2 linked regions of the Caenorhabditis elegans genome follow. Each later gene encodes a partner of the first gene's protein in a complex. Each region holds a gene or a part of one and is shown on either strand. Other genes may lie near its edges. A codon is read from its position in the direction of its gene.

What was found.
Region 2: the proteins of xrn-2 (region 1) and paxt-1 are in contact, whole or in part, in a crystal structure (PDB 5FIR), measured with the Caenorhabditis elegans proteins. Residues at the interface, in NP_496958.2 of Caenorhabditis elegans: Arg548, Phe551, Asp552, Val553, Asp557, Phe560, Arg563, Tyr589, Pro591, Tyr592, His593, Asp647, Asp648, Ser649, Pro650, Ile651, Ile652, Asp653, Tyr655, Pro656, Ala657, Asp658, Phe659, Arg660, Leu675, Leu676, Pro677, Phe678, Asp680, Arg683; in NP_001379143.1 of Caenorhabditis elegans: Lys12 (codon at 2,685), Leu13 (codon at 2,682), Trp14 (codon at 2,679), Ser16 (codon at 2,673), Asp17 (codon at 2,670), Asp18 (codon at 2,667), Ile37 (codon at 2,101), Gln38 (codon at 2,098), Gln40 (codon at 2,092), Cys41 (codon at 2,089), Gln44 (codon at 2,080), Leu45 (codon at 2,077), Asn48 (codon at 2,068), Leu52 (codon at 2,056), Gly53 (codon at 2,053), Cys54 (codon at 2,050), Glu55 (codon at 2,047), Tyr56 (codon at 2,044), Ser57 (codon at 2,041), Thr59 (codon at 2,035), Leu60 (codon at 2,032).

The regions. Positions count from the first base shown.
Region 1 is NC_003280.10:14,153,802-14,159,046, reverse strand, and holds the start of xrn-2 (5'-3' exoribonuclease 2 homolog), read right to left. Parts: upstream 3,280-5,245; 5' UTR 3,261-3,279; coding exon 2,973-3,260; intron 2,643-2,972; coding exon 2,352-2,642; intron 1,444-2,351; coding exon 781-1,443; intron 1-780. Other genes in the region: rpl-37A (Large ribosomal subunit protein eL43), read right to left, coding at 3,478-3,753; bop-1 (Ribosome biogenesis protein BOP1 homolog), read left to right, coding at 4,674-4,844, 4,896-5,047, 5,113-5,245. UniProt on the Caenorhabditis elegans protein: Possesses 5'->3' exoribonuclease activity. Plays a role in maintenance of steady-state concentration and turnover of microRNAs (miRNA) by degradation of mature miRNA. Degradation role is enhanced when in complex with paxt-1.
Region 2 is NC_003279.8:8,594,194-8,599,055, reverse strand, and holds paxt-1 (Partner of xrn-2 protein 1), read right to left. Parts: upstream 2,724-4,862; 5' UTR 2,719-2,723; coding exon 2,612-2,718; intron 2,103-2,611; coding exon 1,985-2,102; intron 1,937-1,984; coding exon 1,839-1,936; intron 1,791-1,838; coding exon 1,703-1,790; intron 1,655-1,702; coding exon 1,524-1,654; intron 1,477-1,523; coding exon 1,271-1,476; intron 891-1,270; coding exon 631-890; 3' UTR 505-630; downstream 1-504. Other genes in the region: ddx-52 (putative ATP-dependent RNA helicase DDX52), read right to left, coding at 36-145, 197-398; R05D11.9 (Sphingomyelin phosphodiesterase 4), read right to left, coding at 2,986-3,144, 3,193-3,311, 3,357-3,514, 3,569-3,697, 3,749-3,942, 4,279-4,613, 4,663-4,835. UniProt on the Caenorhabditis elegans protein: Plays a role in maintenance of steady-state concentration and turnover of microRNAs (miRNA) by degradation of mature miRNA in complex with the exoribonuclease xrn-2.

The sequences.
Region 1 (5,245 bases):
GGTTTTGTATAGCCGGAAAATGGAAAAATTCCGTTTTTTCGGTTTTCCACAGCCGAAAAATCAAAAAATTCCGCTTTTTTCGATTTTTCGTAGCTGGAATATCAAAAATTCCGCTTTTTTTCGATTTTTCATAAACGAAAAATCAAAAATTCGATTTGTTTCGGTTTTCATAGCCGGAAAATCAAAAATTCCGTTTTTTTTTCAGTTTTCCACAGCCAAAAAATCAAAAATTCCGTATTTTTCGGTTTTCAGAGCCGGAAAATCAAAAATTCCATTTTTTTTTTCAGTTTTCCACAGCCAAAAAATCAAAAATTCCGCTTTTTTCCGGTTTCATAGCGGGAAAATAAGAAACTCTTTTTTTTTTTTTTGGGTTATTCATACCTTCGGTTTTCCGGTTTCTCCGGTTTTCCGGTCTCCGGTTTTCATAGCCGGAAAATCAAAAATTCCATTTTTTTTTCAGTTTTCCACAGCCAAAAAATCAAAAATTCCGTATTTTTCGGTTTTCAGAGCCGGAAAATCAAAAATTCCATTTTTTTTTTCAGTTTTCCACACCCAAAAAATCAAAAATTCCGCTTTTTTTCCGGTTTCATAGCGGGAAAATAAGAAACTCCGCTTTTTTTTTGGTTTTTCATAAGCGACAACAAAAATTCCGTTTTGTTTTTTCGGTTTTCCACAGTTGGAAAATCGAAAATTCCCCTTTTTTTTCAGTTTCTCAGAGCCGAAAAATCAAAAATTCCGTTTTTTTTTCGGTTTTCTAATGTCTCAGCGACACATCCTTGCCTGGAATCGCTCCTCATCCTGCTGTCTTCGCTTGAAAATCTCATCTTCGACGCGTCCGAGCCCCTTCATAATCATCTCGACCCGATCGAGCTCCGGGATCCCGTCCTTTGTCAGATAACCTTTCATCTGGTAGACCATCTCCTTATACAGCTTAATCAGTCTGTCAATTGCCCCTTCTCGGATCTCGAGCGATGGTAAATGTGGAAGGAAGTCGTTTCCGACGAAGAAGCACAGGAAAACCCAATCATCCAGAGCCCGCTCGACGTCGAATTTAAATGGAAGATTCGGCATTGAGAGCTCCTTTTCCAAGTACTCCCTGAGCACCGGGATCCGTAGAAAAATGAAATTCTTCTCTCGCTGCTCCGGCTTACAGTAGTCATCGCCCAAATCGGTCTCATTTTCGGCGCCTCTACACTCCTTCAGCTCATGACCGTACTGACCGCATAGATCACAAGCCCGCGGCTGATTCGGCACGAACTCCTCTCGGATAATATTGAAGTTGGCCTCGTGGGTGGCGATTCCGAGCATAATAAGGTCGGCGTCGGCTCCGCAGAGGCAGTGGACGGTGTTCGGGTCGTGAGCCGGGTTGCCACGTTGCTTTCGGACGTAGTCCATGATCTTGTGCTCGCCTTCGCCGGGAACATTCGCGTCGGAGAGGATGATCTGGAAATTTTAATTTTATTTTTAAAAAAATTTTAATTTCGAACCCAATTTTTGCTCATTTTTTGGTACAAAAAACAGAAAATTTTGATTGGATAGGTGAATTTTAGGGATTTAAGTCTCATTTTAGGCACCAAAAACCGAAAATTTTAATACAAAAGCAAAATTTTCGTTGTTTTGTCGAATTTTCCAAACAAATTGGACGATTTTCACCTGTAAAACCTAGATTTTTCGCTTTTTCTCTGTTGGGAATGAAATGTTGAGTTTATGTTTTCATTTCAAAGAGATAAAAATCAATTTCAAACGAAAATTAGCCAAAAAATGATAGAATTTTCGTAAATAAACATATTTTTCCGATTTTGAGCCCGAAAAACCATAAAATTTAATTAAAAATCAACTTTCTCGTCAAATAAAGCAAGATTTTTGGTCTTTTATCCAATTTTTAAAATAAAATGGACGACGATTTTCACTGTAAAAACTATATTTTTCGCCGCCATAACCATGTTGGGAATGAAATTTTGAGTTTATTTTCGAATTTCAAAGAGAGAAAATTCAATTTCAAACGTAAATTACCCGAAAATGTGATAGAACGTTCGGAAAAAAGTTTATTTTTCCGATTTTAAGGGCAAAAACTCAACTTTCTTGAATAAAGCAAAATTTTCGGTGTTTTGTCTAGTTTTTCAACTAAATTGGAGGATTTTCACTGTAAAAACTAGAGATTTCGCTTTTTTTTCATCAAGTTAATAGCTAGTTTTGTAACTTGGAGTTTTGCTAAAATTAAAAATGATGTTTCCTTGATTTCTGGCAATTTTCCGGCACATTCTATAACAAAAATCCACTGAATTTCCTTAAAATAGGGACTGTCAGAGTCAATTTTTCATCGAAATTCTCGAAAATTTCCAACTATTCACCTCAATATTAGCCCATGACGCGTCATTAGTGACCCGATCATGAATATAATATCGAAGAGCATCGGCGAGTCGAGCCATAAATGGTGTTCCAGGAGTAATACAGTTACTATCGAAATGAGCTTCTTCTTTCTTTTTCGGTGGCACAGCGATGCCTTCGGCCATCAATCGATTTCTTTGCTCTTCGATGCTCGCCTCCTTTTCAGCCATCTCTTTACTCGCCCGGAATCGACGACTTCGCTGCTGGTTCATCTTGGCTCGCGGAGCAACTCCATCGATCGCCATATAGAGAAGCTGGAATTTACGGGGGGTTTTTTCTAGCAAAAATCCATGTGGCGGGACCTTTTTCCAGAGTAGATTTTAAAGCTAAAAATGATTATTAACGTTAAGTGTTGAAGTATTCCGCGTCTTTTTGCTTAAAAAATGTTGAATTTTTGAGGTTTTGCTACCTTTCATTGAGTTCTTCACGCGAAAATCGCTATTTTTCACTATTTTCTAGGTAAAACGCTGGTTTCTAGCGCCTGGAAAATGCTCTTTTTGTTCAGGAAATTCATCAGCAGCGACCCTAGGCGACGTGGATCGTGGTTGGGACCCATTTCCACATTTTTTGAGGATTTTCCTTACCCTTCGCGGTCTGACAATCGAATAAATGCGATCGATGTACTCGAAAATGAGCGCGAACATCTCATCTTCGTTCTTCGGAGCCGGCCTGTCTTCTGGATGGGTGCACGGATGGATAATACCGTTCATATCCAGGTATAGATTATCAAACTCCTGGAAATTCGGATTGGGCTGTGTACAATCTACGGGGACCCGGTTGCCATCCTGGTCTCGCTGACGATCTTCATTGGCATTCACCACGGTTGCCGGATACTTTTTAGTCAACCATCTGAAGAATGCGGGAACTCCCATTCTCGGAGTTTTATTTTCTCTAAATTATCAAATTGCTTTTACGGAAGGAGACGAACGGAGAAAAAGTATTAGACGAATGAAGCGAGGTTAAGCTCGAACATGACGGAGGCCCCGTTCGGGGGATTAATATGTATTAAAAAGAAGTAAAAAAAAAACAAAAAGGCGAATGTAGAACACATATTTATATGTGAAAAATTAACAACATTCAAAAGGATAATTATTCCTTAAGATCTCTCAGTCTTCTGATGGTGGATCTGACGGTAGCGGCGGTGACGGTTCCGTAGACGTAGGCTCCTCCGGCGACGACCTTGTGGCACTTGGCACAGTTCCAGATTCCGGTGGCCTTTCGCTTCATGGCCTCCTTTCCGCAGAACGAGCAGGTGTAGCGGGAGTGCTGTGCGACTTCGAGCTTCTTGGCCATCTTACGGAGGGAAGCACCATAACGGGTTCCGTACTTTCCGACGATTCCGACCTTCTTAGTTCTCTTGGCCATTTCGACTGGATTACCTGAAAAAAAGAAATGAGTGGTTTGCAAAAACAGAAGTAATTAATAGACATAATTTTGAGCGACGGAGCATTGAAAAATCGAAAATATAAACCAATAAAGCCAACTGCATTTTTGGAAGCGAGATAGAAGGATTAAGAAAGGTGAAATGTGTTAACGAGGAATAAAGTAATAAACAAGTTAACCGATTCAGCCTAGTGCGAAAGTGTTTCGAAAAAATACGAAATTTCCAGCAGAATTTCTACCAACAATCTAAATTCTATGTAAAGGACATATATTCATACTTCAAAGTTAAGAAATGTAGAAACGGTAAGAAGACGAGAAGAAAAAGTAACATTATTTTTCAACTGACCGCCAAAGCAGCAAAAAAAAGAAGAAAATTAAGGATATTTGAAGTTTTGAAGCCATGAACCAGAATATTCAGATAATTTAGATCGACAGAAGGATCATTTGTAGACTGATAACGCAGTTCGAGTCCTAATTCTTTTTTAAATCGTCAAACAGAAAAGTGGAGAAAATTTCGACAAATAGGCGGTAAATCAAGGGTTCTACTCGCAAATATTCAAAAATAAGCTTACAATTCAACAATTCTGATGGAAAATATTACTTTTATGAAAAAAAAATCGAAAAATTCAGCAGCAAAAAGGAAAAACGTTCGAAAGAGAAATTGAAATCGGAAAAATGTTGGGCCTAAAATCGCGACGCACTACGGTAGATGCAACGCGTGTCTCAATGGAGCGCGCTTGCACGTTGAGTTTTCTAGTCCCCCAACTTTCGCAATTAATTTTTCGAATGGAATTTCTTAATTTTCTCTTTTTCATCGATAATTCTTTACTTTCGCTTAATCTTTCTTCAATTTTCAAATGAATAATTCAAATATAACACTTAAATTAATATATTTCCATCAGATGGCTTCAACGTCGGCGGCAACTCCGCTGAAGAACAAGCGAAAGTTTGAAAATGGGAAAAAGAAGCCAAAAACGCTGAAAGACGAGTTTGGCGAGAAGCTCGACATCAAACCGGTGATAGTTCCTCCAAAGCCTGCAGACGAGTATGATTATGATTCTTCTGACGAGGAGGTTGGCTTATTTTTCATATTTTAGCATAAAATATATAATTTTTTGTTTAAGGATCTGCGAAACACGATTGGAAACATTCCAATTAAATGGTACGATGATGAGGATCACATTGGATATGACAAGTTTGGAGAGAAAATCGCAAAACCCGCGAAGAAAGGAGAAATCGAGACTTTCCTGGAGAAGATGGAAGATCCAGATTACTGGTAATTATGTGGTTAAAATCAATAAAATAAAGTAATTTTATATTAATTTTTTTAATTTTTTTCAGGCGAAAAGTGTTCGACAAGCAAACTGGCACTGATGTGAAGCTTACCGATGAGCAAATCGAAAAAATCCACAATATCGCGACCGGAAAGTACCCAACAATCGGCTACAACCCATACGAGCCGTTCCTCGACATT
Region 2 (4,862 bases), on another chromosome or scaffold:
TTCAAATAAAAATTAAATTTCTGTAGAAATCTCACCAATTTCTGCATTCTCTTTTCCACGTCGCCAACGGTCTCCTCCACTTCATTTTCAGAATCTCCGTCAGAATCATGTACTCTCTTTCGTGATGCAAGAATTTCAATCGACGCTGAATATTACAAATGGTTTATAAGTATTATACTAAATAGACAATATTAACCTTTCTTTTTATTTTTCTTCACTTTTTTCTCAATTTTTGACTCGACTTTTCCGATCATTTTTTCACGAAGTTCGTCATATCTCCGAAGCGATTCTTCTGTGATCGTTGATAGTTCTTTCTTTTTGTTAAGATCATCGGCATCTTTCTTTTTCGGTTGTGATCTTTTAATACCGAACGAAAGGGTTCTAAATGCCAAGGACATCTGAAATCACATATAGGTATACAGATTCGGGTGAACATTTCGAAAGAGGTAAAAATGATGAGATTCAACATCATTATAAAAAATTAGAGTAAAAATGCAACGATTAGTCAGTAAAATTCATAGGAAATTTGATGTAGTTGTATAAAAACCAAAGCCAAATATAAATAAAACAATAGAAATTATATTCACGAGTGCAAAAAAAGTAAGCTCCCCTAGATCAAGCTAATTGAGATTATTGGAATGCAAGAGAGCTGTGAGATTTCATAGAGTTAATGACGTTGATTTTATCGTTGAGAATCAGTTGACACACGTCTTCGCTCATTTGATTCGCGATCGTTGCCATCGCTGGTTTAGTGCATTCAGTGCTGGATAAAACACGAGAAGATAGAAGAAGATCGGCAGTGACGAGATCAAGTTGTTGAGACCATCCTTCCAATTTTTGAGTATTTTGAATCATTGACATGTTAACTGCATCCAAATATGTTGTAAGACCTGAAAAAGTTTTCTAAATACATTTTTTCAAAAGAAGGCAAAATTATTTGTTTTCCAATTGCCGTTCGGATTGAGTACTGTAACAAACTTTCGAGTTTTTTTCTTCCAATTTTCAAATATATTTTCTAAAAATAATTGTTTCAGGGAACGGCATCCATAAGTACCGGAAGCAATATTTTAAAATTTTTAAACGTGTTGCCGCTAATAAAAATGGGTTTACAGCCGAAAATTGATAAAACGAGCTTGCAATCAAATTCAACAATCCCACTTCTAAAATGATTTTTGAAGAGATATTGTTCCAACTTTTATAATCCTTACTTTTGAGACCAAATGTTTCATTCAATTTAGTGATACTGTTTTTTTAAATGAAAAAAGCTCGCCTTTAACTGTATGTGCACCATTAGAAACTGCTGATTTAATTTTTGCAAGTCTTCTGGTGACTGATTTAGCGTAACACTCGTCCACCGGAACTCCATCAAATCTAATTTCGTAGCTTTCTTCGTGAACAGCGGCGTCACACGAAAGAATGCTTTCAATTAGAGTATTGATTGCACAATCCCTTGGATCAACACAGTATTGGGAGAATCTGAAAGAACATGAAATTCAAATAGTTTCGAAGATTTTTATACAAACGTATGTCTGAAGGCCACATATCGATCGATAGTTATTTCAATTTTCTGGTTAATCTTGTTCACGTGCCACTTCATGAGACAACTATTCGTGGCAGTTTTCATCATTTGTTCGCCCGTTAGATGGTGAGGTGTCTGAAATTAAAAGATTAAAAGATTAAAAGTTAAATCTGAAATGTTCACCATTGCAAGAGATGCCTTGAGTTTTCCAAGACGTTCATCAAAAGATTCACGAGCTACTGGCGATGGAGACTTTTCCATTTTTACTTTTCTGGAACAAAAAGATTGAAAATTGCAATTTTTGAAAAGTTTTTTTTACTTAGACTCATCAGAAGCTCCTTCTAAATCTGATGTCTTCACTGCTTGTCGCTTTTTCGCTGCAGATGCCTTCACGTAACTTCCAGTTTTTGTACGATCCTGAATATTAAATTTGAAATATATTTTTAAATAATGAAGATCACTTACTTTGTTAGCAGCAATTCCAGCACCCATTGTTCGAATCTTTTGCATTAAAGTCTGAGAATATTCACATCCGAGAAGTGTTACATTAATGAATAATTGTGAGAGGCATTGAAGTTGGATTCTGGAATTGAAAATTGTTTTAGAAATAGTACAAGTGTGATATTATAAAACTAATGTTTTTTTTTCCAGAACACAATTTAGAAACATTAATTTTTTAAATCTATAAAATTTGAAATCAAAACAAATCAGGCATGGGTGGTAATTCTACAAAATGACGTATTGCGCCATGTTTTTCCAACACTTCTCATTAAAAATTATGTTCAAAATATAGAAATTCACTTGATTTAGTTGAAAATATTATCAATTTTAACTGAAACATTCGAAAAAAGAGCTCAAAAAGGAATGAAAAACTCCAATTTTTTTCGATGATTGGTAGCTTTCAGGTGATTTTTGACAGCTTTTTTGAATATTTCAGCTGCATAAAATGATTTTTTTTTAAAGATAAATCAAGTGATTTTCTTTATTTTGGCACTAATTTTTAATGAAAATATTGGAACTCTAATGAAAATATTTGGAGCACATAGTGCAATAAGTCATTTTTCAGAATTGTCGGCCAGTGCTGAAACAAACTTCGGATAGTCATCATAATGTGCCAGCATGAATGCTTTTCGGAGCTCCCACGCATCGTCGCTCTCCCATAATTTCTTTTCAGCTTCCACGTCTTCTAACTTCCCCATTATTTCTGAAAATAAAGTATTTTTTCAATAGGATTTCCGTAAAAATAGAAACGGTAAGATATTTTAAAGCTGACATTTAAACTTGAAATAGATTATGAAAGAAAGCCGCGTTATGATTGAATGTTTACTCCATGAAAAAAGAAACGAACTAGAATTTGATTAGAAGAAAAAAATAAATTAAAAAGATTTGATTAAAATTCAGACAGAAAACAAAAAAAAACAGACGAGATGATGACAGTGGTGGAGCAGAGAAATCACAAACAAGTGTCAGTAAGATGATGAAGACCCGGAATCGAGCTCAATGAACAAGAGTACAGTGACCGAGAGTGCGATGAGAATCAGAGAGACAATTGTAAAAGTTAATCCGTATTTCAGAGCGAATAGTAGCCATATCATGAAGAAAATTGACTGGTAGCTGGCAAAATACTGCAAAAAAAACCAATTAAAATCGGCGGATAATCCCTTTTAAATTACCCGTAAACGAAGCAAAGGAGGTGATCGTATAATTCTTGCTGAATACGCTGGAACTGTTGCATTCGGATCTAGATTTGGCACCGGTGGATACATTACTTTACGAGCAATTGCACCAATTACTGAAATAACATGAATTACAAAAAAAACAATAATTTCCAACTTACCACTTTGTTGTGAATAATGATCTCCAATTTTCTGAACAAATGAAAGTTCGTTGAGCTTCTGAGCCAAAGAAGTCGTCAATTTAACAGCAATCCCAAGTTCGTAGCTTCTTGTTGGAGCTTTTGGATCATCTTTAATGCAATTGGAGTAGTCAAAACGTCTACAAAAGATAATATAATACGATAATATATAACGAAAGACAATTAAAACTAACTTTTCTCTATTCAAAACTTGTCGTTGTCCGATTGGTGTTAACAGCATATGATTTGATGGTCCATCAACAAAATGATCAGGTATTCCAAGACCAGATTTTGGTGTTTCGTTCAAAAGTGATGTGTATAATCTGAAATAATTTTTCAATCAATAAAAAGTGTTTTAATCAGTATTTTCTTACTTTTCCTTATGAAAAGTTTCATTCCCTGTTCTATTTGCCAATACAGAATCTTCCATTTCCGGCATAAAATGAGTTCCAACATAAGAATCGCTGTCTTTCATTAGTGTTAACAATTCGCTAACAAGTCTTCGACTGGACTGTGTTCTAGCCGAATCACCACTATAGAATAAAGAGTTCCAGAATCCTGAGTGTTCCTGAAAAAATAATTTGCATAGTTCTCTTAGATTGACCGAGATGGGCCCACCCATTTTTCGAAAAAAATAATTGGAAAAACATTCGTTGGAAAACGTGTTTAAATGATGAATTTAAAGATTTTTTAATATCGAATGGTGTTTTTTCTTTCAAATTTGCAAAAAATACGATAATTTTCAGCTTTTTATATAAATTTTTTTTTAGTTTTTGACAATTTTTTTCAAATAAAAAATGAGGCCGGGGTCTCGACCAGGCCGATCTAAAAAAAAATTGGGTCGACCCACGCAACAGGCCTTTTTTGTAAGTGAGTGTTTCATCTTGAAATGCTCAAAACTAACATCTTGTTCTTTCTGAATCGCACTCCGATGCATTCTAACAACCACTTGCATTTGTTTCAACAGTTCAAGAGAATGTGGTTGAATGTCTAGTTGGATATGACGGAGCAGAAGTGTTTGTGGCTCTTTCCATGCAAATTCTATGATAGCTCGCAGTGATCCAAGAAGCTCCTCGCACATTTCAAATGCCGAGAATCGTTTGAGAATCTTGCCAAGTATCACTTCATAGAATTCCACGTTTTTCTCAAAGAACTGACGATATTTGGCCGCTGGAGCGAAATCCGACGGATTTGACATGTTGTGATAACGCCAAGGACGGCAATAAGTAAGCCAGCACACTGAAATTATTTAACATTACGAGAAAAAAGTTTAAAGTAGTAAACCAACTTGTTATATCTCTAAAAACTATGGTTGTAGGCACTTGAGTTACGGAGCTTTTAAAGAAATCGTAAAGCGAAAATCTGAAAGGAGCAGAAGCCATCAAATCCAACTTCCAGTTATCAACTTCCGGATCGCCTGTGCTGAACTGACAGAACACGTGGAATTGTTTCAGGAGATATCTAAATGAATAATTTTTTGAAAATAAA